3 linked regions of the Mus musculus genome follow. The protein of the gene in region 1 purifies or fractionates together with the protein of each later gene. This does not show direct contact. Links are inferred from orthologs where the notes say so. Each region holds a gene or a part of one and is shown in the gene's direction. Other genes may lie near its edges.

Region 1 (10,794 bases):
AACTCACTTTGTAGACCAGGCTAGCCTCAAACTCAGAAATCCGCCTGCCTTAGATATTTTCTTCATTTACATTTCAAATGCTATCCTGAAAGTCCCCTATACCCTCCCACCTCCCTGCTCCCCAACCCACCCACTCCGGCTTCCTGGCCCCGGCATTCCCCTCTATTGGGGCATATAGTCTTCACAAAATCAAGAGCCTCTTCTCCCATTGATGGCCGACTAGGTTATCCTCTGCTACATATGCAACTAGAGACACAGTTCTGGGGGTACTGGTTAGTTCATATTGTTGATCCTCCTATAGGGTTGCAGACCCCTTTAACTCCTTGGGTACTTTCTCTAGCTCTGACATCATAATCTTACCTGCCCAATCATAGCTTCCAAAATGTAGCTATTAAATCCTAATGAAGTTTCATATGATATGTTAGATGATGATACATTTTATTCTTTAAAATAATATGTTAGATGATAATGATGCATTTTATTCAATTTAGTTGAATTGTAAGATGTTTGTAGAGAGTTGCAGATTGGAAAGATGCCTCCTTTTAGAGACTGATACAGTTGGGTTGTAGGGTGGGCCAACATGTATGATCAAGGCACTCTTACTATTCTTATAAGGAGAATAATCTTTAACGTGTGCTTTTTAGAGGACACACAGTTTAATCTTACACCTATGTCTGTTATATTCTGTTCCTTTTTTATTCCACCTTAGTTGTAGTTTATACCCATTGCTGTTTTGTGCACTTTAAAAAATTTGTGTGTCTGTATAGGATGTGTATATACATGTGCAAGGTAAGAGGTAGATGCTGAGTGTCTTCTTCTATTGTTTTTTACCCTATATTTTTGGGGAATAAGATCTCTCATTCAACTTAGAACTCACTGATGTGGCAAGGCTAGCTTTTCAGTCAATCCTAAGGATGCTGTTGTCTCCCTTTCCACCCCACTAGGATTATAGCCATCACCATCATGCTTGGCTTGTGTGCATGTGTACAGGGTATATAAAATGTAGTTGTTGCGCTTGTTCAGTAAGTACTTAGTGGCTAAGCCACAAGTCCAGGCAGTGTCTGTCTGACTTTCATTTTCTTTCGAAATTTTCTACTTGAGTGTGTGAGCCACAAAACACACGTGGTAGCTAGAGACCAACTTTGTAGAGTAAATTCTCTCCTTTATGTGTTCTGAGAGTCATACTCAGATCATTTACAGGGCAAACACTTTTAGTTTTGTCTATTTAAAAAAAAAAATAGCCGGGTGTGGTGGCACACGCCTTTAATCCCGGCACTCAGGAGGCAGAGGCAGGCGGATTTCTGAGTTCGAGGCCAGCCTGGTCTACAAAGTGAGCTCCAGGACAGCCAGGGCTATACAGAGAAACCCTGCCTCGAAAAACCAAAAAAAAAAAAAAATAATAATAATAATAATAAAATAAATAAATAAAGTGTTGTTTATGTGTGTGTGTATATATAGTGTGTACGTGTGTATAATGTATTTTGATATCATGTTTTTCTCTTCCAACTCCTATTTTCACTATCATTGAGCTTACTAACAGTTTTTTTTTTTATAATCTGTAGAGTAACTTAATACTTCTTTTACTTTTCTCATCTCAATTCTAAATTATCATTCTTAATTATTTGTTGGTTCTTTCTGGCTTTTAGATTTGGATTTCCAGGAGCTGGCCATGGTCCCATGCCAAGCCAAGATCGCTTCCATGTGCCTCAGCAAATACAAGGATCTGGAATTCCTCCACACATAAGAAGACCAATGTCTATGGAAATGCCTAGACCTTCAAATAACCCACCATTAAATAATCCAGTTGGGCTTCCTCAGCATTTCCCACCACAGGGTCTGCCAGTTCAGCAACATAATATACTAGGCCAGGCATTTATTGAGTTGAGGCATAGAGCCCCTGATGGAAGGTCACGGTTGCCATTTGCTGCTTCTCCTAGCAGTGTTATAGAGTCACCTTCACATCCAAGGCATGGAAATTTCCTTCCCAGACCTGATTTTCCTGGCCCTAGACACACAGACCCCATAAGACAGCCTTCCCAGTGTCTATCCAATCAGCTACCTGTGCATCCAAATTTAGAGCAGGTCCCACCTTCTCAGCAAGAGCAAGGTCATCCTGCTCACCAATCTTCTATTGTCATGAGGCCCCTAAATCATCCTTTAAGTGGTGAATTTTCTGAGGCACCTTTGTCAACATCTACCCCAGCTGAAACATCACCAGATAACTTAGAGATAGCTGGTCAGTCTTCTGCTGGCCTGGAAGAAAAACTAGACTCTGATGATCCTTCTGTGAAAGAACTGGATGTGAAAGATCTTGAGGGGGTTGAAGTCAAAGATTTGGATGATGAAGATCTAGAAAATTTAAATTTAGACACAGAGGATGGCAAGGGTGATGACCTGGACACTTTAGACAATTTGGAAACTAATGACCCTAACCTGGATGACCTCCTAAGGTCAGGTGAATTTGATATCATTGCATACACAGATCCAGAACTTGACTTAGGGGATAAAAAAAGCATGTTCAATGAAGAATTAGACCTTAATGTTCCAATTGATGATAAGCTAGATAATCAGTGTGCATCTGTTGAACCAAAAACAAGGGATCAAGGAGACAAAACTATGGTTCTTGAAGATAAGGATTTGCCACAGAGAAAGTCCAGTGTTAGCAGTGAGATAAAGACAGAAGCCCTGTCTCCCTACTCTAAAGAAGAAATACAGAGTGAGATTAAGAACCATGATGACAGTAGAGGTGATGCGGATACTGCGTGCTCACAGGCTGCTTCTGCTCAGACCAATCACAGTGACAGAGGAAAGACTGCTCTATTGACTACTGATCAAGATATGCTTGAGAAAAGATGTAACCAGGAGAATGCTGGGCCTGTTGTCAGTGCCATTCAAGGGTCCACTCCTCTGCCTGCTCGGGATGTGATGAACTCCTGTGACATAACAGGATCGACTCCAGTTCTCTCGAGTTTACTTTCTAATGAGAAGTGTGATGATTCAGACATTAGGCCTTCAGGGTCCTCCCCACCAAGTCTGCCCATCTCACCATCCACTCATGGGTCAAGTTTGCCTCCTACTTTAATAGTACCACCTAGCCCTCTTTTGGATAATACCGTGAATTCTAATGTAACAGTGGTCCCTAGGATAAACCATGCTTTTTCTCAGGGTGTGCCAGTAAATCCAGGATTCATTCAGGGCCAATCATCAGTGAACCATAATTTAGGGACAGGGAAACCTACAAATCAAACTGTGCCTCTCACGAATCAGTCCAGCACCATGTCTGGACCGCAGCAGCTCATGATTCCTCAAACATTAGCCCAGCAGAACAGAGAGAGGCCCCTCCTTCTAGAGGAACAGCCTCTGCTTCTACAAGATCTTTTGGATCAAGAGAGGCAGGAGCAGCAACAGCAAAGACAAATGCAAGCCATGATTCGTCAGCGGTCAGAACCATTCTTCCCTAACATTGGTAGGAAATTCCTTCTGTCTCAAAATAAGTTACTGGGGGCATCTGAGTACATGCAGCATGCTTGTAAATTTTCATTATTGAGATTACATTTGGATCAGTGTAATCTGAGAATTTTCTGTCTTCTCGGGTCTTTACAATGAAAAGATGAATTTTAGATTCCTTCCAGGTCAGTCAAAATTAAGATAACCTTGAATTGTTACCTCACTCAGTTCTGCTTTATATGGTGTTGATGGTGGTTTTAGTTTTATCTGCCAATTGTTATGAGAAATAAATGTAAGGAAATTATGATAGAAATAAAGTTTCTTGTTCTTTTGTGCACAAGTGTTTGGTAAAGGTTTTTTGCATTTTAGGGTTTTTTTTTTAATCCCCCACAGACACATCTTTCAACTTATTTTTGTTGTTTTATTAGTTTTAATAAAAACACAAGTCCATGTAACCCAAACACTTCAGTGCTTTGCCTAGAAGAATTAAGTCAGCAGGCATATATCTGAGGAGTATTTTTTTCTAACTAATAACAAAAAGCATTGTATCAACATGTGGTACAAATTCCATTATTTGACTCTTTTTTCCCACTTATATGTATGCAAAGAGATGCTCTCACTATCCTCATACTTTTATTTTGTAGGTATATCCTGGAGATATTGGTAGTTTTTTATTTCTTTTAAAAACTGATAACTAATTTAGAGGGATTCTTTAGTATTGGAAATAACTGTAAATTCTCATTCCTTTCAGTCCATTACTAAAAAAGATCATTCTAATTGGCACTGTGAAGGTTTGAGCCACTGGGACTCTCGTTGCTGAACATCACTGTTGTGATCCCCTGTAGACTGACAGACTTGTTTTAAAGTATGCTTCAGTTATAGACACCTAAAATGCAGCTACCATTTCTAGATTCCCTTATGTGGTGTAGAAACATATAATGATTCTTGAATAAGGTATAAGAATTTATAAATTATGTAATTGTGATACTTAATTTTACCACTTCATATATCTTGAGCCATGAACTTAAATTATGAAGTAAGTAATGTCAAAATACATTTCTTCTTTAGATTTTGATGCTATTACAGATCCTATAATGAAAGCGAAAATGGTAGCCCTTAAAGGCATAAATAAAGTGATGGCACAGAACAGTCTGGGCATGCCACCAATGGTGATGAGCAGGTAGGTAGAAGTGCTTTTTTTTTCTTCCTGGCATGTAGATGTACATAAAAACACCCCTACTTCTTAGAGCTCCTCAAAAGCCTACCTTCTGGTTGTAAAGAGTATTTCAATTCAGCTGAATGCAGGGAATTAATTTCCTTTCATTTTAGGGAAAATAAACAGAATAATATACCACTCAAACATTAGGAAGACTGACTTGGTCAGTGAGGAAATCCAAACTGTTTGTGTGTGTTTACTTTTTTATTTAAAGAAGTGTTAGCCTAAGATTTTCATTCAAGAATTTCAGTGGTTAAGGAAATTATCAATTTAGCTCTGAAATGAAATTGTCCCAACATGACTTTGAATTAGAAAAGGCAAAACAGTAATTTATGGAACATTTGGATACTGAGACTGGGATAGTTGGATAATTTTAACATCTAACAGAAAAATGGAAATTGTGTGTTCAAGAGAGATATTAGAGATGAGTAATCGTTAAGTTACAGTGGCTGTGTACCCCAGTGAAGTGCTGAATCTTGATCACTTTCTAACTTAAGGATTATTTGTGTGCCCCCATCACTACACTTTTAAATGCAGTTTCTATACCTTTCTACAGACCTAGTGAATGGGATTTTCTAGGAATGGTGTCTGAATGCTTGTATTTTTGACAAGTACCTTGAATGATCTTTGTGTTGTATTGCTGTTTCTGATTTCTGATCTCAATTTATTGTGATGATCTTGTTGAAAAATTATAATAGGGAGTGCAAATGATTGTAGAATTTAATATAGAATTGTATAAGTTGAAGATATAGACATAGGCTTTAGGGAACTGTGTAATACACTGAGTATGATTAAGACACATTTTTGATGTCAAAGTAAAGATAGTGATTTGTAAAGATTTTTACTACCTAGCTGGATTTATTAGCACTGTTCTTCCCTCAAGGTAACTTTATGGCATAAGCCTTTTTAACCTTAAAACCATGAAACCTTTGAAATTCTTTTCAGATATACAGGTAATAAAAATACAAATTCAAAAAGAAATAGACCACATTTGTAACATAGTTAATAATCTCTGATTATATTCTTGATATGTGTGTATCATAATGCATTAACAAACTTAGCTCTAAGTTTTATATTTTATAACAAGGTAAAGATTGGTAATTACCTACTATGAATGTGCAACACTTGTAGGAAAATCATGTTTCCTACTGGTGAGAGTATAGTATTAATAAATAATACTGTGATAAATAATAAATAATACTGTATTTTAACTTGATACTCAGAGTCAAGGAAATGCTAGATTTTGTTTGATCCTTAATTGTTTTCATGGGCCTCAGAATCAGAACTCTCAGCATCTCATATATGTTCAACATAAGTGTCTGTGCTCATTAGACATGCAATGCTTTATCAGCCACATGCTAAGTGTACTGGAGACCATTCTGAGTTCTTTGCAGAACTAAGGTAGTGCCTTCTGAGATTAGTGTAGTGTGTTACATGATGATGGCAGAGAGCAAGCATTAATCGGATTGGGATTATTTTGTACCAGAGCTGTAGTAGGGAGAAGGGAGATTAATGAATCAAACTTCTGAGGGAAAAAAAAATCACAAGTATACACTCTAAAGTCTAATAACATTTAAATGCTTCTTTATAATATTTTTGGATCTATTTTGAAATTGTGTTCAATGTATATCTTTTTTAAAAAATTTTTTCCTATGTATATCTTAATATGTTAAAGCATTCAGTGGCTTAATAAGACAGACATGTTTTCAAATAAGCCATAATGATTCTATACCAGTTACTAGTTTAATTAGAATTAATAAGGTTTCACCAAATGGATTTAACTATAGAGATTAATCACTAGTTTCATTTTTTTTTAATTTGGTATAATCATTATATACAAATGCGTACAAGAATTGTGGAATTATTTGAGATATTTTTGTTTTAGACTATAAAAGAGCTAAGTAGTACCCCTTATTCTCACCCCCAATGTCTTAGTCTATAGTCCAAGTTGGCTTGAAACTCTTATGTAGCTCAGGCTGGTCCCGAACTTGTGGCATTCCTCTTCCATCAACTTCTCATGAAATAACAAGCTTAGTCTATCCATTTTTAATAAAGATTGCAACTAGGAAAAAAAACTTCCTTGTTTGTGTATTGAAGCTAGATTTTTCACTGTAAACGTATCATAAAAATTATTTTTCTGAAACCTATGAGGGCCCAAGCTCTGCAATAGTTTAGCTGGCTTTTTATGCAGCTTTACTGGTCCCTATGAAGATAGTGGCCTACCCATTCTGAGCGGTCATCCATAGTAATGGGAAGGTACTGAGTGCATACTGAGAAGAGGTCTGTTGAGCATCCAGAAGCCAGTTGTCGGAAGTCTCCAGTGTTACTCTTCTCTCCCCTGGAAGAGAGGAGTGTTAGGTACCTGTGTGATTTGTTCTGAGCTCATCAGTTGATGCTGTGCGCTTTTCTTTACAGATTCCCCTTCATGGGCCCATCAGTGGCTGGAACACAAAACAATGACGGCCAGACCCTAGTGCCACAAGCTGTAGCTCAGGTAATGCTGCTCGAATCACTGGTTTATGGAAGACACATGGACCTACTATGTCTTACCAAACCCAAATCATAATGAAGCCCCTCCTAGAAAGGAATAGGAGCTGATCTTCTGGCAACACAGTGAAATAAAGATGTGTTGTTGCTGTGTAAAATAAAGACAGATTTAAAGACGAGAATTTCTGCAAAGGACTTGCACACGTTAATGATAGAAAGTCACTTGGAAGGAAGCGAAGTGCTCTGGCTTTATATTCATTTCTAACTCTCGAAAGACATTTCATATCCTGCTAATTGGAATTAATCCATCACATTTAAAATGTATAATTATTGGAAACAGTAGTGGAAAATGTCTGTAATCATTCTATTAGGTATAATTATTCCTTGAGATGATTTTTTTTTAATATTGAGCATCTATAATGAGCTCAAGTTTAAACATTGATGCTATGTTCATGTTATGAAGTCTGGAAACAGTAACTCTTTTCATGTGCTATTTTCTATGTTGATTTTTAAAACATATGTTTGCCTGGTATAGGGGGGTACCTTGATCTGTGTGCTTTGGGAATTATCTTATATTCTGCCAGTTATCATTTATATTTACTATACAGATAATTTATGCTTTTTCCCTATTAAGAATATAAACACCCTTTGATATACTGGAAAGGCTTAAGTGTTGTAGCTGAGTTTTCTAAGTTCTCAGTTTGACTGTGAATTCAGTGTGCACTTTGAGCAAGTTCTTGAGCTTTTTAACTGTGCTCTATCAAATGCTGCATCAGCTTCCCTGCAGTACTTACTATAGGGCTGAACATGCCATATTCTGGCTGTTGAACATAATAGCTCATGTCTAACGGAATTTGAATCAAAGATTCTATTTATCAGGTTCTGGCCAGGAAATTGTGAAATTATCAGCTATCCAAACACCATGAAAGAAGCAAGGCATATTATTAGTACACAAGACTAACATTATAATGAGTGCATTTTCTTTTATATGTATACTATATTAATTCTTGTTATAATTAGCTTTTTGTGATATAGTATAGTTTAGTGAATGTAGAACATGTGTTTATGAATAAAATGAATTTTTTTTTCATTTTTTTTCCTTCATTTTGAAGTTTTTCCCCCCCTTAAGTTGAAGTATGGAATTAAACATATTTGTAAATTTTACTTATTTTAGGATGGCAGTATAACACATCAGATTTCTAGGCCTAATCCTCCAAATTTTGGTCCAGGCTTTGTCAGTAAGTATAAATCTAATAAGTTACCTGTTTTCTGGGGATTGCTTGTTTGACTATATTTGTGTTGTTTTGAAGCTCGGAATTAGTGTAGATGATACCTCTCCTATCAGAGGTCACTGTCCTAGGCATCTTTACAGCAAGGCATGTGTTTTCATTGCTTTTTTCCGCTGTGCATGAGGAACTAGTTAGAAATAAATACTTTAATACAGGAAAACCATCTTCCCTATTTTCTTCAACATTGTTGTTTTTTTAAAATAGATTTACCTCTTTCCCAATATAGCATTAAACCATGTTTGCTTTCATGACAGTCTGCCTATAACGAGGACACTAAATGGGGAAAAACAAAGGGAATATATTTAAAAGCTGGGTTGTAGCATGGTGTGAAGGTCAAGTGTGCAAGAGGCCACTGAACCCTTCTAGCTGTCCTTAGGGGTCCCAAGGTGGTTCAGGATAGCATTTAACGTTCCCTCAAACTGAACCTTTCTGAAATCTTCAGACTGTTTAGCTAACTTTTTTCACCATTATCTTTCATTTTGCTCACCTCTGCTCTCCTGGTTCCAGAAACCAGAAAGGCTTTCCTTGCGGTAGGTCTCATTCTACCAGAAGCAGAACTTCTGAAACCTTGTGAAAAAGCCTGTTCTTGACAAAAGCCCTTCAAATTTAGTGCACTAGATTGCACCTTCATACATATACTGGAACTTCTGGGTTTAGGAACAAACCCAAAGTCTAACCTTTTGAAATTCCCCCGCATCAATTATGATCATAATTTGAATACACATTTGTATTAAAAATAAGTAAACTACTATGACCAACTGGCTTTTTCTGGCTGTATTGTGCCCATTGGATTTGGTTGGATCTTAATGTATGGCAATATTCTGTTATCATTGATGTTATTTTCAGCTAATGTCCTTCTAGGATTGTGTTTTTCTTTGTTTTATAGTCAAAAAGGAATACTCAATTTTTTACTACCTGAGCTAACCTTTTTTGGGGACTTGGCATCAATGGAATAATGTGCTCTGGGAGAACAAGGACGGGATCTCAGTGTACGATAAGATGTAATGGGGAGAGATATAAGATATAATCCGTCCAGGACAGATGAGAAGGCTTTGCTTGCTTAGCTATCACTTCCCCCTGTAGACTTAGAAATTACAAAATTAATGGAAGTTACCAGTGTTTTAAACTTAATATATTTTCTTTATAAAATGTAGACCTCCAAGTGCTTCTTTTTAGAGTTTTCTGGGTTTCATCTCCCTGTTTCCTTTTTCCTCCACTACAAAGATGTAGGGAAGACTTTGTAAACTTAGAGAAATCAGCATGACTGAAATCAGCATGACTGATTACAAATGACTACGTAATCCATGCTCTTGATGTTACTGGGATATATTTTCCTTGCCTCTTCAGTCTGTACAATTGAATTAATAAAATACAACATTTTTAAACAGTTTGGTTTATGGATTAGATAATTTGATGGTTCTTTTGGAAGATTGGAGTTGCAGAACTTACAAGCATTAAGTTAACTAGTGTTTTAATTGAGCATTCTCTGGCTTTCTTGAGTAAATACAATTTTCTAGAAGCTGATACTTCATAGTTATAAAGGACTCTAATAATTAGAATTTTGTTTTCAATTTTTCTTTAAAATATTCACAATAAAATTGTCTTCTTACAAATGAATTTGCTTAACTTTTAATAATCTTGGACTACCTAGAAAAATTAACACACTTGAATTTTGGTTCTTCCCTCAGATGACTCTCAGCGTAAGCAGTATGAAGAATGGCTACAGGAGACTCAGCAGCTGCTTCAGATGCAGCAGAAGTATCTCGAAGAACAAATTGGTGCACACAGAAAATCTAAGAAGGCTCTTTCAGCTAAACAGCGCACAGCCAAGAAGGCAGGGCGGGAGTTCCCAGAAGAGGACGCAGAGCAACTCAAGCATGTTACTGAGCAGCAGAGCATGGTTCAGAAACAGCTTGAGCAGGTAATAGACAGGTTTGTAAAGTGGAAGCCATCTGCAGCCGAAGAGCTGTATTAGTGGGCCTCAGGGTTTGGGTTTCTGCTATTAAATAGCATGCAAATTACACTCCTCTAGGAAGACCTCTTAATAACTGAGGGAGTGGCTGCCTATTCCTGACTGAGTGATGCTTGCTGCCACTGAAGAGACTGACTCTCACAACTCCGGGTCAGAACTGTTTTATATACTCTCTGTGACCCTGGAATGATTGGATTGTCTCCTTACTACTAGTAAAACACTGCACCACCTTAGCACTTAGGAGGCAGAGACCTCTATGAGTTTCAGGCAATCCATGTCTAAACAGTGAGTTCTAGGATAGCTAGAGATACACAGTTAGACCCTGTCTTTTTTTATTTTGGGTTTTTTGTTTTGTTTGTTAATTTGCTTGTTAAGAACAAAAG
Region 2 (10,894 bases), on another chromosome or scaffold:
GAGTAGGAAGGCTTCAGTTCTGCAGGCTCCCTTCTCTTGAAACCCCACGCAGTTCCCCTGCAGCCACCCCAAACTTAGACCTGTTTGCTTAACCCATCTATGCTGCTCAGGGTGCCTCCACCCAATCCTCACTGGTCCGTCTCTTCGCAGACCTAGGTCTCTGCCAGGATCCCCCGGTGACCGTTGGCGGGAGGGGCCGAGGACTTAGGAAGAAGGGGGTGCCCCACCAGGAGGTGCGCGTGAGAAAGGACAGGGAGGGGGCGAGAAAGGGCAGGGAGGGGGCACGAGTGGTCCCCAGGCCGGTTACCCAGGTAACACGGGGCCTGGCACGAGGTTCTCTTGGGCTATCCGGGAGGGGCAGGAGGCGTGCTAGGGGCGGGGGCGGCGCGGCAGCAGTGGAGCTTAGGGGAGGGGACCAGAGAAGAAGGGCCGAGCAAACCCGGAGGAGAGAGGAGGGGAGACCCGCCACCTCCCTTCATTGCTCACAGACTTGTTCCCTCCCCGGTCTGCGGCTGCTGCAGCAGCAGCGGCGGTGGCGGCGGGACGCAGGAGCAGTCCCGAGGCTGGCAGCGGATGAGACTGGGACCAACTGAGACTGCTGGTAGGTGTGGACGACAGACAGCTGGGTGGCATGAGAATGCAGGTGCCAGGCGAACTAGAGGGTGGTGCTGGGTGCGTCGTACCATCGGGAGAAGATCCCCTCCCCCTCAGCCTCTGCTGAAAGCAACAAGGGAACCCCTAAAAGAAGGGCTAAGAAGGTATGCACAAGATACTGGGTCTTCCCCAAGAATGGGGCTGGAAGGAGGTAGACGGGCATTTGAGCCCAAATGCACAGTAGGAAACCCTGCACTTCTTAGGTGGTGCCCAGAGAGGAGGGAAGGGTACAGAAGGAGCAGACTGTGTGGGGTCCTGGTCAGTCTGCCTGTTGGAGTGCCTGACGCATGCACAGATTTTCATGTTCTGGTGCGCCTTCGAGTTGGAAGCTGAGAGACTGGGTCTTGTTGGGTGTGTTGGATGGATCTAGGAACAGACCCAAGAGCAGTTCTGTTTAGAAAAGGGCTTATCTTCCCATGGCTCTCCAAGCCGACTTTAAAATACTTCTCCACCTTAAAGCAAAGGAAATCCCAACTTTTCCTCCTCTCCCTAGGGACAGTACAGGCTAGCCTTGAAACAGAATCCTAGCCCTCTTGAGCCTGTGGTGATGAGAGACACTCTTCCCTCCTCACCAAGCCTGTCTCCTCCTCTTCCAGGATTTGCTACTGTCACTGTTGTCTCCTCTTCCCCACGGGCCCTCTCCCATCTCGCTTCTCTAAGATGGCAGCCAGCAGCTCTCAGGTCTCTGAGATGAAGGGGGTGGAAGACAGTTCCAAAACCCAGACAGAAGGTCCCAGGCATTCTGAAGAAGGACTAGGTCCTGTCCAGGTTGTAGCAGAGATCCCAGACCAGCCAGAGGCCCTTCAGCCGGGCCCAGGCATCACTGCAGCCCCTGTGGACTCAGGGCCTAAGGCAGAGCTGGCACCAGAAACCACAGAGACCCCAGTTGAAACCCCAGAAACAGTCCAGGCCACAGACCTCAGTTTAAACCCAGAAGAAGGCTCCAAGGCCAGCCCCAGCCCCAGCCCCAGCGAGGCACGCCAAGAGCCAGCATCCAAACCAGATGTGAACAGAGAGACTGCAGCAGAGGAAGGGTCTGAGCCGCAGTCTACAGCCCCTCCTGAGCCAACCTCGGAGCCTGCTTTTCAGATAAACACCCAGTCAGACCCTCAGCCAACTTCCCAGCCTCCTCCTAAACCACCCCTTCAGGCAGAGCCCCCCACCCAAGAGGACCCTACCACAGAGGTCCTGACAGAAAGTACAGGGGAAAAACAAGAAAACGGAGCAGTGGTTCCCCTTCAGGCTGGTGACGGGGAAGAGGGCCCAGCCCCCCAACCTCACTCACCACCCTCAACTAAAACACCCCCAGCCAATGGGGCTCCCCCCCGTGTGCTGCAGAAACTCGTTGAGGAAGACAGAATAGGAAGGGCACACGGTGGGCATCCAGGATCTCCTCGAGGTAGCCTAAGCCGTCATCCCAGCTCCCAGCTGGCAGGGCCTGGGGTGGAAGGGGGCGAAGGCACCCAGAAACCTCGGGACTATATCATCCTTGCCATCCTGTCCTGCTTCTGCCCCATGTGGCCTGTCAACATTGTGGCCTTCGCTTATGCCGTCATGGTGAGCCCCAAGGGACCCTGGCCCAAGTGTACTGTGGCTCTCAGCTTCGTGCCAGTGTCAGCCCAGAGCCCCAGTAATGACACCTTCCCTCACCTCTCTGCATGGATCCCACTTTTCCAATTGCTGGCCCTTTGCTTGTCTCTCCCCAGGACCTAACCTTCCAAGGCACTCCTGCCCGACCCCTTCAAGCGGGAGGGAAACAGATGTGTCATATAATCTTACTGACCTGTACCCTCTTCCTCCTGCGTCCCCAATTCTCCTTCCTTTCTCAACCCCATTGGGCTGACCTTCCTCCTCTGGACTCTCACCTGATCCCTGCTGGGCTGGCTCCTGCTGACCTGGGCCATGATACCTCCAAACCCCTCACCCTCACCCCAGTCCCGGAACAGCCTGCAACAGGGGGACGTGGATGGGGCTCAACGTCTGGGCCGAGTAGCCAAGCTCTTAAGCATCGTGGCGCTGGTTGGGGGGGTCCTCATCATCATCGCCTCCTGCGTCATCAACTTAGGCGGTGAGTGGGGGTCAGGGACAGGAAGGGAGGCGCGGAGGGTTGACCAGGGCAGCTTTACTAACCCCTGACCCTGCTCTCTCCTGTCTGTCCTCCCTATGCCTTTGTCTCTTCCTGTCTCCTTCCCTGTCTGTCTTTCCCTCTCCTCTCCCACAGTGTATAAGTGAGGGGCTCTGCCCTGCATTCCAAGACTTTTCTTCCTGTTGGGAGCTGTCTTGGGTCCATCCCTGTCCTGGGAGAATCCCAGTCCATGGCCCTGGCCCCCATCTCTAGGGACCAAGGGAGCCTGAGCGGCCTTGTTTACAGCTTCTTTCCCCCTGCATCCTGCCAGGCTCCTCTGCCAGCCATAGGCTTCCTTTCTCCCTGCACTTTTGCCTGCAGACCCCCACCCCACTCCTGCCTCTTGACCTCCCTAACCCTGCACTCTGAAAACCTCTCTGCACTTCTGGAAGCCTTCCTGAACATCTAAATTGTACTCTGCACCTCTGCATCTCTCCCAGCCTCCCTGCACTTCTTCCTGCCTCTGGAATCCTCTGAACCTTATCCCTGGCCTCCCAACGTTCATTGTCTTGGTATCTAACCCATCCCGTTCTCCCCTTCCTTAACACCGTTTTTCCCCTTGCCACGTCCCCTGACCCTTTCTCCCTTTTCATCTCCCCCTTAGCGTCTTCACCCTCCTGCCAACACTTAGTCTGCAAAAACTGCAGTACTTAGGTCAGGCTGAGGGAAGAAGGATGGTGTGGGGAGAGGAGCCTAGCTGGGGGCTCTGACTGTTCTCTACTGGGGACCACCCAGGCCCAGACCATACCCTACCCCTACCCCTAAGGTGCCTATTGGGTCCCAAAGCTGGCAAGTGAGTCCTCACCTGGGGGACCTTCTGAGAGTCCTTATTCTGAACATCCAGGGGAGGAAGGGGCATAGCTGCGCCTGAAGAGTCAGCCTGAATTGATCTGCCCGTTTGGGCTTTTTAACCTCAGAGTTTCTTGTTTGAAGGTCTATTTATGTGCTTTGTAAACAGTAGAATTCAAAACAAAACAAACAAACAAAAACAGGACCAAAGTTCCCAGCTGCAGGGAGCAAGGGAAGGGTGGGGGAGCTCTGTAATTATTCTCTAAGAGGATGAGGGAGGTTTGTTGCACGCGACAGCCCTCTGAGGAGGCAGAGAGCCAGCTGCGATGCATTTCAGAGTTGGCGGGGTTTTTTGTTTGTTTCCTTTCTTTTTTAAAAAAAAAAAAAAAAGTTGGGGGAAAACTAAAATTCCTTTTCAAAAAATAAAACTGAGTCTCCCTTTTTGTATGCTGAATGCTGCATGAGTCTTAAACACTAATAAACAGAGAATGCATGAGACTGGCCTCAGTTGGTCCCTGTGTTTGCAGAGTCAAGGTACTGCTTTCTGGCAGGCCCTACTGAACGGAATACGCATGCGCTGCCGCAGTGGCCATCTTTAGTATGGGCCGAGGTTAATGAGTCCTAAGGGCCAAATTGCGCATGCGCAAGTCTTCTCTTTCCTCTTCCAAGTAGCTTTGACTACCGCGGAGCCTCCGCGCGCCATTTCTCTGCGCCTGCGTACTGAGATGCTGCGCAGCCTGGGAGGCGGGTTTTAGCTCCAGGTTTGTACCGCTGCTGAGTAGACGCGAACTAGGTTTGCCCGGTCTAAAAAGATGACTTCCATCCCGGTGATGGAGAAGGCGATGTGAAAGCGAGAAAACAGGCCCTTCCCTTTCCAGCTCCGAGCGTGTTTCCTGCGGGTCCCTGGGAACGGCAGAATTCTGGGTCCGTGGGGTGGGGTCTGTCCTTGCAGGGGTTTGAGCGCCCCCTCCTGGGGACGGTGCTCTGGCCGCAGTCAGCTGTTGGACTGACTGGCGATTTCCTAGACCTAGAAAGGCTCTCCAGCCTTTCGGGTGAGGCGCACTGGTTTGGTACTCTAGAATCTCCTCTATTGCTGGGCTTCTTCTCTAGTACTCTATGTCCCTTGCCCTGGGCCATGGAACCATTGCAGGCAGCACAGCAGCGCCTCTGTCTGAAGAAGGGGAAGTGACTTCCGGCCTCCAAGCTCTGGCGGTGGAGGACACTGGAGGTCCCTCTGTCTCGGCTAGTAAGGCCGAGGAAGAGGGGAAAGGCAGTCAGGAGGAGGCCGGGCGTGAGGGATCCAGGCCTGAGGAGGCACTAGAAGCTCCCAGCGCTGCGAGCGACGAGCGTGCGGAGGGAGAAGCCGAAGACTGGTGCGTGCCCTGCAGCGATGAGGAGGTGGAGCTGCCGGCCAATGGGCAGTCCTGGATGCCCCCACCCTCCGAGATCCAGCGGCTCTATGAACTGCTGGCTACCCAAGGTACTCTGGAGCTTCAAGCAGAGATCCTACCCCGCCGGCCGCCTACCCCAGAGGCCCAGAGTGAAGAGGAGAGATCAGACGAGGAGCCAGAGGCCAAAGAAGAGGAGGAGGAAAAGTGAGGCCATGCTTTACACATTATTCCCGGGACTGCTCTCCTGAGCACGGAGCCTGGAGGGAGGGGAGAGCAGGAAAGGATGAGGCGGCGGGCTGGGGTGTGCCAGCGGGTGTTAGGGAGTGCTTCTCTCAACCTTGGCTTTCTGTCCACCCTGTTTCAGGCCGCACATGCCTACAGAATTTGACTTTGATGATGAGCCAATGACACCAAAGGACTCACTGATTGACAGGAGACGGACACCAGGTACGGATGAGAGGGAAGAACTGAGGGGAGGTAAAGGGCCTCCCCTAGTTACCCCGCCCACAAGTGGGCTGGTCTGAGGCCTTGGCTGGTTTCAGCCATCATCTTGACCAGCAGTGGGACGGAGCATTCATACAGTAGCATTCACACAGTAGCAGCATAGTTCTGGCTTAGGTCAGTGCCATACTTTCCTATCAGGGACCCCGCAGACCTTCCCAGAAGTTCAAAGTTTGTTGAACACATCTCTGAAGTACTATGTTCATGCCCAGAGCTGACCTGACATCCCAGCCTGTGGGCCTTCCTAGAATATGCTTTTAGAATCATTCTGGAGCTCTCTCGCAGCCGGCCAAGCCAACAGCAAGTTGCATTAGCTCCGCTTGTACAGATCCACCATTGTCAACCAGAGGAGTCCTTTTAAGTGAGGTCCCGTCTTTCCTCAGCTTGTACTACTCCCGAGGATTCCATTCCAGAGAGGAAGAGCATGTCCACGGAGAGTCTTAAGTTTTCTGGCCTCTACCCCTGCCCCAGGACCTTTGCACATGATGGTTATGTTCCCCAGCCATTGCATTATGGGTATCTTAGTCTAATACCAGCCATCCTGTGTGTGGCCCAAACCTAAACATTAGCTCCTCTGTGCCCCTGAGGCCTAAGAAGGGAGTATTTAACAAGATCTCTAAGTGTGGGCACTTGGAGGGCTCACGTCTCAATGCTGTCATGTTTTCTACCATCTTAGGAAGCTCAGCCCGGAGCCAGAAACGGGAGGCGCGTCTGGATAAGGTCCTCTCAGACATGAAGCGCCATAAGAAACTAGAGGAGCAAATCCTCCGGACCGGGAGAGACCTCTTCAGCTTAGACTCAGAGGGCCCCAGCCCCACCAGCCCTCCACTCCGATCCTCAGGAAACAGTCTCTTTCCCAGACAGCGGAAGTACTGACTGGTGCTGCTCCTGCCTACAGGTGCAGACTGTTTTGTGCTGGGCATGGCCAGCCTTTCCCAACCCAGGCTCTGGGGAACTTGTAATGGGGAAGGCCTCAGGCTCCCAGCGCAGTGCCTCTCAGGAGAGTGCCTGTGTGTTCTGTTTAGTGTCTGTTCGCAGTTTTGAGCTGGATGTGCTAAATCTAATAAAAGATGCCCGATGAGTTGGGCGTGGTGGCGCACGCCTTTAATCCCAGCACTCAGGAGGCAGAGGCAGGCGGATTTCTGAGTTCGAGGCCAGCCTGGTTTACAGAGTGAGCTCCAGGACAGCCAGGGCTACACAGAAACCCTGTCTCGAAAAACCAAAAAAAAAAAAAGATGCCGGGTGATCTTCTCAGAGGAGAGACTGCAGCTCAACCCAAGCACGCATTCTCACTTGGGCAGAGGCAGAGCTGTGTTCCTCCACACTGTAATATTGAAGCCAGAAGAGGCAGAGGCTCAGCCAGCCACCATCCCCCACCCCCACCCTTACTGCTGCATCCTCTGATTTCCTAGTCTCGGTCCAGACCCGCCAGTTAGCACTGATTCAGAAACTGCCCCCAGCTGTGGTGACTTCAGTGCAGCCTGGAGGAGCAAAAGATCCAGTTGCAGGGCCCTTTAAATACACAAGCTCCGCCCCTGCCTGCCCAGCCCATTAGGGAAGTCATCCCAAGTGTTGGTGAGGGAAATTCCTGACCTGTGGCCTGCAGCAGCCAGCTACCCTGCTAAATGTGAGTACGGATCTTGTGACCGTGGCGGGACCCCCAAGACTCCAACCCGGGAGTAGATGTCTGTCCCACAGGCTCTCTCTAGTCTGACTGCTTTCCTGCGACGTTTCTTCTGGGGCAGTGACGTCTCAGCAGTTACAGGAAGGAGGGCGTGGGCAGCTCTGCCTTGTGAGGTTTCACTTTCTAAGACTTTCAGGGTTCGAAAGCACCCTGTTAATGTCCTCGGCCCCCAAAACCTCAGGCGTCCCTGACATAGGGTCTCCCTCACAGGAGATGGGCGGTAAGGGGACTTTTGTCAGGCCCAGTAGCACACATGTGCCACTCCCTACTCAGAAACCTGAAGCAGGAAGGGTGCCTTGCACTTAGCAGGAGAGACCCCATCATTTCTGTTTCTCTTGTTTGGTTGGTTGACTTTAGGTTTTGTTTTGGGGGTGGTGGTTGTTGTTGAGAAAGGGTCCTCCTCAGCCGGGCGTGGTGGCGCACGCCTTTAATCCCAGCACTTCGGAGGCAGAGGCAGGTGGATTTCTGAGTTTGAGGCCAGCCTGGTCTACAGAGTGAGTTCCAGGACAGCCAGGGCTACACAGAGAAACCCTGTCTCGAAAAAAAGAGAAGGGGGGGTCCTCCTCATTTTTTCTAAGTGGTCTTGAACTCTCTGTGTAGCTCAGGATGACCTTGAACATCTAACCTTCTTGCCCCCACCTCCTGAGTGAGTGCTAACATTATAGATTTCTGTCATGAATATCAGTTTTATTCAGAGCTGGGGCTCGAACCTAGGATTTCATGCATTTGGGACAAGGACTCTACAACCTGATGGGTAGAGTGTGACTCGGTGGCACAGCATACTTACATGTAATCTCAGCACTTGGGCAGCTGAGGCAGGAGGGTCTCCAGAGGCTTGGGGCCAGCCTGAGATATAGTTCCACCACAGCCTAAGCTACCGTGTAAGACCCTGTCACAAATAACAGAAGCCAACTGGGCAAAGTTACAGCTTCCACTCAGACTCCATTGCTGGCTTTTCCCTTCTGCCGTCACTCCAGAGGATCCGGGCTCTACCTTCTCTGAGTGACTGGCATGTGTGACTTCACCTCCTTGATTCCCTTCTCCACTGGTCGTGGAGGCTTTTTCCTGCTGCCCTGGGCAGGGCTGTGCGAACCATGGGCCTTGGCCATCTTTTCGGTGGTGAGCGGGACGATCACAAGAGTAGCTTGGTTTCCAGGAGGTGCAGATTTAATGAGAACGAGAGGAAAGCTTTAGGGGAAGAAACAGGAGGAAGCTCAATGGACAGCCGGCCTGAGGGTCTGGGGACTTGGGATTGGTGACTATTGCCCAGCTCTCGTGGGAGATGGTGGTTGACAAAGCTGTTCCTTCTGCCCTGCCTGCCTGTGGCTCCCTGGGACATGAAAAAGAGGCTGGCCATCACAGGATATACCTTTGGCACACAGGATATCTATCCCCACCCTGAGGTGGGGCACCTGGGCAGGACAGCTACCACCTTTGCCATCCTGGGCGCTCGATGCTCAGGCCTGCTGTGGTATCCCACACTCTTCTCGTGTAGCCAAGACTTCGCTGGCTCCGCGTATGGAAAATGCTCGCCTTTGAAAAGCCATTTCAGCTGGGCATGGTGGTGCACGCCTTTAATCCCAGCACTTGGGAGGCAGAGGCAGGCAGATTTCTGAGTTCGAGGCCAGAGTGAGTTCCAGGACAGCCAGGGCTACACAGAGAAACCCTGTCTTGAAAAAAAACAAAAAAGAAAAATAAAAGCCATTTCCTGGACAGCAACAAACCGGAACAGGTCCTCTGTGTCCCCTTCAGTGAGACTGGCTGACAACCTGGTGCTGACAAGCCATACTGTCTCCAGGAACGCCAGGGAAACCTGGCCAACCATCCAGGACCAAGCCGTATGGCTGGGCTAGGTCTTGACCTCAAAGGCTAGAATGAGTCATCAGAAGGCATTGGACGTAGGGTGGGCGATTCCTGGAATCCTTGATTCTGTGAATCTGGAGTAAGGCCTGAGAAAAGTGTGACGAGGACTCAATGTTAGTCAGAAGCCAGGTGTGGAAGCATGGCAATTGTTTTATCCCCAGAGTTTCAGGCCAGCCTAAACAACACAATAAAACTCTTCTTGACACAAGCTGGAGAGATGGCTCAGTGAGTAAGAGCACTGACTGCTCTTCCAGAGGTCCTGAGTTCCATTCCCAGCAACCACATGGTGGCTCACAACCATGTGTAATGGAGTCTGATGTCCTCTTCTGATGTGTCTGAAGACAGCTAACTACTTACATAAAGAAAAGTTTAAAAAAAAAGAAAAATCCCAGTCAGGTCTCGTTTAGGAGAGAAAACCTTAATGGAGATCAGGGCTCCTGAGTCAGTCTAATTCTAGTCTGCACACTCTTCATTTGTAACATTTTGGGGGGGAGGGGCTGTTGAGGAGGGGCAGAGCCACTTGGCACATGGTGAGGCCACCAAACTGTGTCACAGTTAAGGTTAAGGCTTTCTTTTTTTTTTCCAGAGCCTGCCCTTAGCCTGGCCTGCCTGTGTTACATACAGTATCACAGCCTGGGCTACCACTCCAGCTGTCGATTGGCTAAGATTGTTTGGGGGAGGGGCTAGTGAGATTGCTGCTGAGCCTCTGCTGGCCTGGGTTCAAGCCCCAGAGCCAACATGGTGGAAGGTGGGATCAAGGAAGAACTCCATTGAGGACAGGCCCTGCTTATACTGAATGTAGGTAGACCTTTTCTTAAATCCAAAGTAGGCAGCCATCTGGTGGCTGGGCTGGGTCACCACCTTCCCCTTCGCTCTCTGTCCTCCCAGGATTAAGAGAACAGCTGGGGACAAAGGGAGCTACTTGGAGCTAGGCAGGAGAGGAAGGGTTTTTATCAGGAAGGCAGGAGAGAGACCTGTGACAGTGTTAATGGTTAAAGTAGAAGGTGCAGGAATGGTCCCAGTGATGATTTTAAGGTGAAGTAGAGCAACTGGAACTGTCACCCACAGGAGAGGGGCTGTTCAAAGTGGGATGCAGTCACAGGAATGGAGGGAGGCTGGAATGGGCTAGCCACTGAGTTGATGGTCTTGTTCTCCTGAAGGCGGAGATTTGAGGCCTTCAGCTTCACAGTGAATTCACAGCTACCCTGGACCCACCTGAGAAAGAAGAAAAGGTCTTGGTCTTTGCCCTCCAGATGTAAACAGATTTGTTGAGCTTGGACTGTTTGAGATGGACCTTCCCCTCCCTAAACCTGTAGCTTTAGGACAGACACCTTTGCAACTTTTTCAGTCCAGCAGAGGAAGTTTGGTTGCTAGGAGTGATTCAGAGCCAAGGTTGCAATAACAGAACTGTGACAAGGCTAATGTTTCTGGTTGTTGAGGTTTGGTTTTGTTTTTGAGGCAGGGTTTCCCTGTACAGCCCTGGCAATCCCGAAACTCTAGACCAGGCTGGCCTTAAATTTGGAGATTTACCTGGCTCTGTAGCCTTAGCTAGCTGAAAACTTGCTCTGTATCTCAGTCCTTCATGTTGTAGTTTTCTTCCTACTTCCTAAGTGCTAGGATTATAAGCATAAACCACTAGACTCAGCTCACTCACACACACCAGCATCGCTCTGGGTAACCCAGGCTAGCCTGGGCTAGTGCTGTCACCATCACCTCCAGATGGCTTATAGCTGGTCTTTGCTGCTTTGTGGGTTCTTTTCCCCACCCTTTATCCTCCCCTCCACCCCATTTCACCCCCTACCACTAGATAAGAGAAAAGGAGAGAGGAGAGAGATCCCTGAATTGAACTTTTGTTTCTTTTATGAGCATGACTACTAACAAACCAAA
Region 3 (10,894 bases), on another chromosome or scaffold:
AGTGGTTTCCATCCTCGAATGAAATGCACACACACAGCCTTTCTATTTTAATATGCCTTAAACAGCACAGACACTGCCTCACCTCCACTACTGAGAGAACCCACCTCCTGCCCATAATTCCGAGTTACTACTTACTAAGTTTTATCTTCTGTCTTGGCTGCCCTGGACCTAGTTGGGCAGCCCTCTGGGCCGTGCTCTCCTGACTCCTTCACGTGGTGGCCATGCCTCTCTGTCCTGAAGTGGTCTCAGGCATGGCATCTCTCCTCTCCTCCACACTCACCAGTGTGGTGTGGCTTATCCTTCTTCTTCCTGCTCCAGGTCCCAAGCCCAGGAATCCTAAAATTCCACCTCGCTGTCCTCTTCAGCTATTGGCTGTTGACATCTTTATTTACCAATCAGAACCAACTGGGAGCAGGTTCCCAGAAGCTACGTGCAGACTTCTCCTGCAAACAGTGTTTTTGGGGAAACATAATTAGCATTAGAATAACAGCAACTATAATATAGTTCTATTGTTCAGATTTTTTTTTACCTTTATTGCTCCTGTTTTATTTTACTGATTTTTTTTTAATACATCTGTGTTCACTGATAGACCCCTATTCTCCTATGAAGCAGACTGCTGATCTGTATTTGTTGGTTTCTGTGTGTGTGATGTGCTTCATATATGCAAGTACTCTGCCACAGAGTTACATGCTAGCCTTCTGTCATGTTAAGAAAACATTGCATGGGACTGGAGAGATGGCTCAGTGGTTAAGAGCACTGGTTTCTCTTCTATAGGACCCTGGTTTGATTCCAACATCCACATGGCAGCTCACAACTGTCTGTAGGCAGCATACAACTGTCTGTAACTCTAGCTTCAGGGGATTTGATGCCTTATTCTGGATTATACAGGCACAGCATACACATCCTGCACAGACATACATGCAGGCAAAACACTCATATACACGATACAAACAAACAAACAAGAATGGGATAAAGTACTTAGAAAAAAAGAAAAGATTGTATTTTTTTTCAAGTTTAGAAAATTATCAAGAATGAATGATTAAGTCAGACAGATGAGGTAAGCATAAAATCCAGCTATGCTGGAGGCTAAGACAACAGGATCAAGACTTGAAGGCTAGCCTGCCTTACACATTGCTAGTCCAGCCTAAGATGGAATGGTGGCATATACCTTTAGTCCCAGTACTCAGGAGGCAGAGGCAGAGGCAGGCAGATGTGGTGTACATAATGAGTGAGACCCAGTCTCTAAATAAAGAAGTAAACTGCCACCCTAATAGTGTCCCCTCACTCCCAAATAAAACGCACGTGTAAAACTCGAGAGTCAATACCCAGTATCGGAGGCAGGGGTATGTTACATTAATGGATATAATCACATAACATCTTCTCTCAGTTTTTTGATACGGAGTTTGCTTTGAATTCCATTAACAAACTTCCTTTAAAGTACTGCCAAGGTCTATTTAAAATTTGATTTAGAACCTCACACATTGGTGTAAGAGCACATAATTTAAAAAAATGGACCTATAGCTTTCTGCCTACAGATTGTGTTGGCTTTGAGTATATTTGCTTCATTAAATGAATTGGGGGGCTGGCAAGATTGCTCATTCAGTGAAGGGGCTGCTACTAAGTCTCATTACCTGCACTCAGTCACTGAGCCACATAAAAGTGGAAGGAGAACAGTGACTCTGAAGCTGTCCTCTGATGTCCATGTGAGTGCTGTGGCATGAGTATGCCCACATAGAAACAAATCATAAGTGCAATTTTAAAAAGCACTGAAAGGTTTTTATGGATACGTGTATACTCTGGAACAACTTCAGGCCATTAGACATCTGTCCTCTTTAAAGAAGTATTTTGTTTTTCATTAAGTTTGTATATGGTGCTTAGGGGTGAAGGGGACCCTGAAGATGGTCATGGCAGGGAAATGAACTGTAAAGAAGTGAGAATGAAAAATTGGTTCAGATTTACTTCATTAACCTAGATCAAGACTCTGGGGAGTCTGTTGCTGTGTGGTGTATTCCCAACAAATTTAAACGGTATAATTTGGAATAGCTTTCCTGATGTAATACAATCCTTGGTGCACAAGGAACAATTACACTGAAACTTAATTCAGGGTACATGTCATTTTTTCCGAGAAGATGGGTTCTAAAGACAGGAGGCTACCTGTACAAGCTTAATGGCCTAAGGAAGGGTCTGGCCTGTCTCCGTCATACTGACAGCAGAGAGGTCATCTGTGCTATAAGCCATCTCTGGTCCTGGTTGTGGGAGCTTGGAGGAGCCTCTGGCTATACAGATAATGTAAGGGTCATTCCTACTACTGAGTATCGCTGTCTGGGTTGTGGGAGCTTGGGGAGTCCCCTAGCTGTGAGGATCATTTAGATTACTAACTACTTTTGTTCCTGAGTTTATATTGGAGCTTGTTGTGGTCTGGTCCAACAGATACCACTGACCAGCAGCTTAGTCACTTCCAATTCCCAACTTTCTGGATGGAAAAACAGGTTTTGAGTCTTTCCCCTTGGAAAGACAATCCTGTGTGTATAACATTCCTGGTCTCCCTGGAGATCTTTGGGCTTAAAGACCTTCCTGCTGTGCTCTCAACCTAAGAATATCAAAACATTTATATTGTAGCTTGGCAGTAGCACGTGCTTTTAATCGCAATAGGCCAATGAAAGTGGATCTCTGAGTTCAAGGCCAGGCTGGTCTAGAGTGAATTTCAGAGCAGCCAGAGCTACACAGAGAAACCCTGACTCAAAAAAATAAAACAAAACAAAAATTTATACTATGAGGAACAAAATCTTGGCCAAAATAGTCACAGTCAGCAATCCTTTTTTGTTTCTGTTTTGTGTTACTTTGGTTGCTTGCTGTTTTCTCTTTTTTTCCATGGTGGGGGCAGTAAAGGGTTGTTTTTTTTTTTAAATAGTTTTGTATGTAGTCCTGGCTTTCCTAACTCAGTCTGTAGCCCATGCTGACCTCAAAAGGCATGTACCACCACTGCCTGGCTTGTTTTCCTTCTTTACTTTCTTAAGTTAACAAGTTATATAACTTTAAAATAGTCTTCCAATATTGACGTATTGGACCTGAGCATGGTAGCATATGCCTGTAATCACAGCACATGAGAAGTTGAGACAGGAGGATTGCCAAGAATTCAAGGTCAAGAGGCACATCCTGCCTCAAATATTTTTAATAATTTACCTGTTTACTTTTGTTTTATTGGATTTTTTTTTTTTTTACTGTTTTATTAACTTGAAACACTGTCTCATACAATGCAGGCCTCAGATTCTCTTTGTTCCTGACTGGCCTTGAACTACTGATCCTCCTGTCCTAAGCGCTTCCTCCTTCCAAGTGCTGAGATTACCAACCTGAGCCGCTGGGTCTGACCCGTTTTTTGATTATGGCCTTTAATTTGTGCCCTTCTTGCCTCTGCCTCCTGAAGGCTAATTGCAAGCAAGCCCCACCATGTCTGTCCTTCTGTTTCTAATTGAGTTCTAGTTTACTGATGTCGTCACTGGCTCCCTTTTAGCGCATTAGCTCACTCTAATGATTTTTTTCTAACTTTGAGGCAGCTATTTATTTACTTACTTCCCCCTATAACTCATGTAGATATTTTATGATTATTAATTTTCTTCCTCATTAATTTGCCTGTATTCTTGGGTTCCTATAGTTGTATTATTTATAGTTCTCTAGAAATATTGCATTTCTGCTTGGTATTTTTTTCTTAACCTGAATCTATAGGTTTTGCTATTGCTGTTAGATAGAGCTCTGTTTGTTGGTTTTCTTTTGAGATAATCACGTAAGTGCATTGTTACTAGAGTATTTGAGTACTCACTCATTGTGACTAGAGTATTTGAGTACTCACTCATTGTTAGTAGAGTATTTGAGTACTCACTCTATTGTTGTTTAAGATATATTGAGGTTTTTTCCTTATGGCCTAACTTTAAAAGTACCTTTTTCTTTAATTAAAAAAGCAATTAAATAACAGTTTTTGTTATTTATTAGTACATATTCATCTAAAGTTTCAAGATTATAGAAATCAATATTGAGCTCATAAGATAGTTTCTCTGAGGAGAGGGACACTTGGCCACCAAACCTGAAGACCCTAGTTCAGTCCCCAGGCTGGTGGCAGTGAAAAGCTGATTCTCACAAGTTGTCTTTTCACCTTTGCACAGTTACACATGTATGTATGTATGCACACATTAAATAGATGTTTCAAAGATTTTAACCAGTATGTGGCAATAACAAAATTGTAACACCAAAGTTAAAAATGTTATAGTCTGATACTGTCTTATTAAGATAGGTAATTTTTTTCTGAAGCGTGCCAAAAAAATTAATTTCCCATGTATAATTTGTATGTTTGCCGTAAAGAATGCTTTAAAATTTAAACTAAAATTTTAATTAAAACTACAAGATGGAGCTGGGCGTGGTGGTGCACGCCTTTAATCCCAGCACTCAGGAGGCAGAGGCAGGCGGATTTCTGAGTTTGAGGCCAGCCTGGTCTACAGAGTGAGCTCCAGGACAGCCAGAGCTATGCAGAGACACCTTGTCTCAAAAAAAACAAACAAACAGGGACTGGTGAGATGGCTCAGTGGTTAAGAGCACCGACTACTCTTCCAAAGGTTCCAAGTTCAAATCCCAGCAACCACATGGTGGCTCACAACCATCCGTAACGAAATCTGATGCCCTCTTCTGGAGTGTCTGAAGACAGCTATAGTGTACTTACATATAATAAATAAATGAATCTTTAAAAAAAATAAAACGCCTGACAGTAAAGCGACTCTTCTCACAGACCTGCTTTCCTCTCAGTGCAGGTCGGGCCCTCCTTAACAAACAAACTACAAGATATTGTGAATAAATAAGGAAAATATTTATACTTTATGGATTTTAAAAATAAGTTTGAAATTATGTTAGAAGATGTGAGTTTTGTATTAATGTGAATAGAAAATATTCTGTGGGGCTGGACAGATGCTCAGATGTTAAGAGCGCTGGCTGAACTTCCAGAAGACCTGGATTGCCTCTCAGCACTGATACGGTGGCTCACAACCATCTGTAACTCCAGTTCCAAGACATTCGACACCCTCTTCTGGCCTCCATAGGTACTAAACACACATGTGATACACATATATACATATAAGCAAAATACCCATGTCCACAAAAAAATCTTTTAAGACTTGTAAAAAGAAAAATATTTGTCTCCAAATATCTATAGGTAGTTTCCTTGTTTAATTTGGCAAGGTTAAGAGTAAAAGTCTGGAGGGTGCAAGAAAGCCAGAATTCCCAGTTCTGTGGCTCTTACATGAAGCTACTTGGGGTTCCTGAGTTTTGCTTCTTCATTCTACATGTGGGATAAGTTTTCTAGTGAAAACTGATTTAACAATCTCTAGAGTTTATGTATTTATGTATGTATTTATTTATTGTTCGTATTTTTAATCTTATTTCTTTATAATACTGTTTCTCTTCCTCCCCTCTCCTCCCCTCCCCCCCCCCTCTCTCCCTCTCCTCTTCTCTCTCTCTCTCTCTCTCTCTAAAAGAATTCTGATTGGTTGCTACTTTGACCTATAAGCCCTAAAGATGCCACCTTGCTTGGACTTAGAGGATGATCTGGATAAATGATAATTAAGACATTTTGGTAAGTGAAAGTTTATGTAAGAAATTCTTTTTTTTTTTAAGTCTACCTTTTTGGTTTTTCTTTTATTTTAAATTTGTTTTATATGTACTGTGTATATTTTGCATTCTTGTATGTCTGTATAACACATTCATGAAATTTCCAAGGAGGCCAGAAAAGGGTGGGTGACAAATGCCCTGGAACTGAGGTTACAAACAGTTGAAAACCTCCATGTAAGTTCTAGGAATTGAACCTGGGTTCCTAATTTCTTTCCCAGCATATTATCAGTACATAGAGAACCTAGCAATTTACTTTTATTTGCATGTGTGTTTATTGGTGCCTGTGGAGTCTAGAAGAGGATATTAGATCCCCTATAGCTGGAGTTCTAGGCAAGGTTGTGAGCCACCTGACATGGGAACTGAGCTTCAGTCCTCTCAAAGAGCACTTCACTGATGAACCATTTTACTAGCCCTGCTACTGGGTTTTCTAGGTTAATTTTATATCCCTGATATTTTCTTGAAAGTATTTACTACCTAACTCTTAATAGTTACCTTGAGACGTTCTTAGTATGTTTTAAGTAAGTGATCACATCTGTAAGTAGGAATGATTTGACTTCTGCCTTGCTTGTTTCTATGCTTTTTATTTACTACAGGCACTAGCTGGGCTGATATAATAGCACATACTTTTATTTTATTTTATATTTTGCATACACCTTTAATTCCAGCACTCCAGAGGCAGAGGCAGAGGCAGGTGGATCTCTATGATGAGTTTGAGGCCAGCAAAGTCGACAAAATGAGTTCCAAGACAGCAGAACTACACAGAGAAATCCTGTCTCAAAACAAGCAAACATACAACAAAGAGTTCAAGCACTATAATCAGTATGACCAGGGGTGAAGTGGGGCTGGAGAGTTGCTTAGGGGTTAGGATACTTGTTATTTTTGCAGAGAAGCCAAGTTCACTTCTTAGCACCCACACAAAACTATTGGATCCTCTAAGAGCAACATGTTCTCATAACTGCTGAGCCGTCTCTCCAGCCTCCACATCTTATTTCTATTGTATGTGCATATCTTGTAGGTGCATATGCCACCATGAGGTACAGAGGTTAGCAAACAGCACACAGAGGTGGTTGGTTCTCTCTGTCCTCACAAGGCGTGGCTACAAGTGCCTTTACACACTAACCCATCTCACCAGCCCTCATTGTATGGTGATCATTTTTATTTTTTTTTTAATTTTTTTTTTTTAGGTTATATCCTTTTGGTTTAATTTTGGTAATTCATGTATTGAGAAACATACCAGTTCCTTCTAGTTTTAACAACTTACTGGAAGTTTTCAAAAATTCCTTAGAGATCCTCTTTGAATCTCACTGCTTTAATATCTCCTTTTTAGTCTATGTATTATGTATATAATATATATTATGTATGTATACTTATCTTTTTTGAGGCCAAGCCTCTTTGTATCCCAAACTGGCCTTAAACTCCCTTTTAGCCAGATATGATCTTGGGTTTCTGAGATCCTCCTGCTTCCATCTTCCATGTGCTGGAATTATAGGTATGTATCGCTATGCCTGATTTGTGTGATGGTGGGGATCAAATCCAGGGCTTTGTGCATGTTAGGCAAGCTCTATAGCAACTGAGCTGCATCTTCAGCCTCCTCATTTTCTTAATTCATGTCTATTTATTTTGGTCAATTTGGTTATCTTATCAAAGAACTCTTTGTTTCGTTAATCTTTTATATTTTTCTTTTAATCCATTTTATTAACACCTATCCTAACATTTATTTTATCTTCCCCTTTTTTTTTGAAGAAAATGTTTAAACATCTGTTTATTTACTGTTGTGTGAGTGGGCTTGGTGTGTGTTTAAGTCAGATGACAACTTGTAGTTTAATTCTCTCCTGCCGTCATATGGATCTTGAGGGTCAAACTCATCGGCAAGCTTAGGAGCGGTCCTAGTCACCTGCTAAGTCAGCTCACCCGTCTGTGTCATGGCTTTCCAGCTACTAATTTTGGTTTGGTTTACTCTTGTTTAACTTTAATGACATATATCATTAAGTTATTTTTCTTTCTGTCCTACTTTGAAATGGTTGCTAAATACCTACAGTTTTTAGGCAGTTTCAAAACTCAGTCTTTCTCTTGCTAAGTAAGCAGCAGCTTTTTAGCCTTAAAATTTTTTTGTTAGTTTTATTTATTTACTTTTAATATTATTAGAAATTCTTAAATGTAGCTGGAGAAGTATAGTTATTTTATAAAGGATTTTTCTGGGTGCTGTTGTTTGAGACAAGAGCTTACTTCTGCAGCCTGGGGTGAGCTCAACTTATGATCTTCCAAAGCGCTGGGGTTGCAGGTGAGCACTGCTAACACTCAGATCTATTGATTTTCCTGTGTCACTTTGTATATTTCTCCCAATAGTCTAGTCTTAACAAAAAAAAAAGTAGCAAATAATATTATGAAAGGAAATTTTATCTGGTAAATAAATTACATCTTTTATAGAGGTATGGATAACATATTAAATAAAAATGATATGCTGACTATATAATGATAGTTTATAATACTCTGCATCCTCTCTTTTTCTGAAGGTTTACTTACTGTTCACTTTGCATATACTTCTGGAATAATACACCATGGTTTTGGATGACCTTCCAAACTTTGAAGACATCTATACTTCCTTGTGTTCATCTACAATGGGCGACTCAGAGGTGGAGTTTGACTCTGGACTAGAAGATGATGACACGAAAAGTGATAGTATTTTGGAGGATTCCACAATTTTTGTAGCCTTCAAAGGAAATATAGATGATAAAGACTTCAAATGGAAACTGGATGCAATATTAAAGAATGTGCCCAACTTGTTACACATGGGTAATTAATCTTTGCTTTCTTCTTGTTGCTTTGACATGCTTACTTGCCTACAACCATGATGCTAGGATTACAGGTTTAGGCTACCTTGCCTAGTTTTAAAAGTTGCTAGTAAAGTATATTGTAATTAAATAAATTTCAAATATATTAACATTAAAATTAGTATAGAGCTATCTGATGTGTGTGCAGAACACAGATAAGTTTCCAGTAATCATTAGATTGGAAGAAACTTTAGTGTCTTTGTCCTGTGGAGCCAAGATCTAAAGTTTTTCAGTGTATTGAAACATGTCTCCAAATGTGATGGAAAAGCAGGCTTAACACTTAGAGCTTGTCTGATTTCACTAGGTTTCAACTCAGCTTGCTTAGCCTTTCTCTGGGTCACAGTTTCCTTACCTTTAAGAGCACTTTGACTAAACATAGTCTAAGCATTTTTAAAATTTGTAAGTATATTAATCCCATCACCCTTAGCAGGTGGTCTGCTTTGTTCTTGTTTTACATCACAACAATAAATTCTGTGTTAATATTTTGTATCTAATGGTTTAAGAGCTGGAATGGGCTTAGGTGGCATATTGAAACGCTCTTCATGGATATCTGGATTTTGAGAAAGCATTTTCCTATAGAGCTATTTTATTAATATTGAAAGATGTAATTTGGGCAGTGTCACATACCTTTAATCCCAGCATTTGGTAGGCACAGGCCAGCCTTGTTTACAGAGTGAGTTCCAGAACAGCCAAGACTACACAGAGGAATTCTATCTCAAAAGAAAGAGAGAGATATAATTGAATAAAGGGTATGAACTGTTTAGTTGATCTGAGTTTATAACATAAGGGAAAATATTTTGTTTGGAGTTGCCAGATAGCTTTTATTTCCTTTCTTATCTGTGAAATGTAATTACAAACAATACTACTACCTCAGTTTACTTTGTAAATCTTTAATTGTAAAATACATATAGTAGAGTTTGCCATCTTTATGATTTTTATATATGGCTCAATGATTCTTAAATGCAATTAAAATATTATGCAACAATTACTAGTAGCTATTTTTATAACTCTTATAAAATTAAGATCTATAACTATTATATAATAACTTCTCATTCCCTACCTATTCAAGCCCTTAATAAGCACCATTGCACTTTTTTTTTTAATTTAAAAAATTAGATTTATGTGTATGGGTATTTTGCCTGCATGCATGCAATGTCCATAGAGGCCAGAAGAGGGCATCATATCTTCTGGAACTAGAACTACAGCCAGTTGTGACTTCCCTCTTGTGTGCTTAGAATTAAACCTTAATCCTCTGGAAAAGCAGCCAGTTATCTAACTCTCCAGCCCCCTTGCTTTATTTTTACCTACCCTATCAAAGCAAAATCCTGTATCTTTATTTCCTGTTTTATTTCCTTTAGCATAATATTCTCAGTGTTTGTCCATGAGCTGTAGCACATGCTAGGATTTCCTTCCTGTTTCAGGCCAAATATTCCACAGCATGTATGTATATACTACATCGTCTTACTGTTTATCTGTTGCTGGGCACTTGAATTCCTTCCGTGCTTTAGCTGTTATAAATAACGCTGCTGTAAATGTGGATATACTCTTCCATATTGTGCTTTCAATTCTTTGGACTGTATCCTTAGAAATACAAGTGCTGTATTATATTGCTGGGGACCAGCCCTGATATTCAGTTACTGAGGTGGGAAACAGCATCAGTCAAATGCCAAAGGCTGATGACCTCTGACCTTCTAACTCTCTCTTACTGTCTTGGGGGCCAGAAGCTGATGCAGTTTCATAGGGAAAAAAGAAGGGGGGGGCAGGCGCACATGTATGCACACATTCACACTTTGGCTGGGCCTAACCACCTGTTTCATCCATTTCACAAGTGTACATGCATACACATGTACCTACATACATATGTATGCCCAGACATATATAACATATATATATTTATATATATGTATGTATGTATGTGTGTGTATGTATATATATATATATTTTTTTTTTGGGTGGAGGAGCAGAGCCCCAAAAGCCATACTTTATTTCTTCTTTCCACCTTTTTATACCTTCTTACACAAAAGTTCTTTATAAAATTACCTCATAGATAAAATGTTACACAAATGGGGAGTTACAGTAGAATGTCAAAAGCAGTGTTTCATTCTATAAGCCCATTATAAGTTCAAAACAACAGTTTCACATAGCCTTGCTTTATCATAGTGCTCACCTGTGGTTTCATCTTTGGACCTGACCTAGAATCAATGTTTTCCTTGATCACAAATCTTTCTCAAATCTATTTCTCTTCTTAGTATAATTTATGAAAGCTTATCATACAGCCTTTACTTACTATTCTATGAAGAGGGGCACATTCTATTCTTGACTCTAACACTAAAACCATCTCCTTAAACTTTCTTCCTAAAATTATTTGAATTCTATAAAGTCATTAATTCATCTAAACAGCATTAATTCATAAA

Evidence for each region.
Region 2: the proteins of Kmt2c (region 1) and Pagr1a purify together in Homo sapiens (affinity purification with mass spectrometry; 3 studies listed by BioGRID and IntAct, with this or other methods). This does not show direct contact. The link is inferred for Mus musculus from reciprocal best matches to the Homo sapiens genes KMT2C and PAGR1.
Region 3: the proteins of Kmt2c (region 1) and Ncoa6 purify together in Homo sapiens (co-immunoprecipitation; 7 studies listed by BioGRID and IntAct, with this or other methods). This does not show direct contact. The link is inferred for Mus musculus from reciprocal best matches to the Homo sapiens genes KMT2C and NCOA6.

Annotation. Positions count from the first base shown.
Region 1 is NC_000071.6:25,302,272-25,313,065, reverse strand, and holds part of Kmt2c (histone-lysine N-methyltransferase 2C), read left to right. Parts: intron 1-1,646; coding exon 1,647-3,466; intron 3,467-4,515; coding exon 4,516-4,627; intron 4,628-7,078; coding exon 7,079-7,157; intron 7,158-8,324; coding exon 8,325-8,388; intron 8,389-8,946; coding exon of another isoform or gene 8,947-8,969; intron 8,970-10,127; coding exon 10,128-10,360; intron 10,361-10,794. UniProt on the Homo sapiens protein: Histone methyltransferase that catalyzes methyl group transfer from S-adenosyl-L-methionine to the epsilon-amino group of 'Lys-4' of histone H3 (H3K4).
Region 2 is NC_000073.6:127,010,712-127,021,605, reverse strand, and holds Pagr1a (PAXIP1-associated glutamate-rich protein 1A), read left to right. Parts: upstream 1-4,253; 5' UTR 4,254-4,684; coding exon 4,685-5,163; intron 5,164-5,323; coding exon 5,324-5,406; intron 5,407-6,136; coding exon 6,137-6,336; 3' UTR 6,337-6,555; downstream 6,556-10,894. Other genes in the region: Prrt2 (proline-rich transmembrane protein 2), read left to right, coding at 1,315-2,211, 2,590-2,790; Mvp (major vault protein), read left to right, coding at 7,086-7,087. UniProt on the Homo sapiens protein: Its association with the histone methyltransferase MLL2/MLL3 complex is suggesting a role in epigenetic transcriptional activation. However, in association with PAXIP1/PTIP is proposed to function at least in part independently of the MLL2/MLL3 complex.
Region 3 is NC_000068.7:155,435,408-155,446,301, reverse strand, and holds the start of Ncoa6 (nuclear receptor coactivator 6), read left to right. Parts: upstream 1-5,518; 5' UTR 5,519-5,614; intron 5,615-8,162; 5' UTR 8,163-8,207; coding exon 8,208-8,442; intron 8,443-10,894. UniProt on the Homo sapiens protein: Nuclear receptor coactivator that directly binds nuclear receptors and stimulates the transcriptional activities in a hormone-dependent fashion. Coactivates expression in an agonist- and AF2-dependent manner.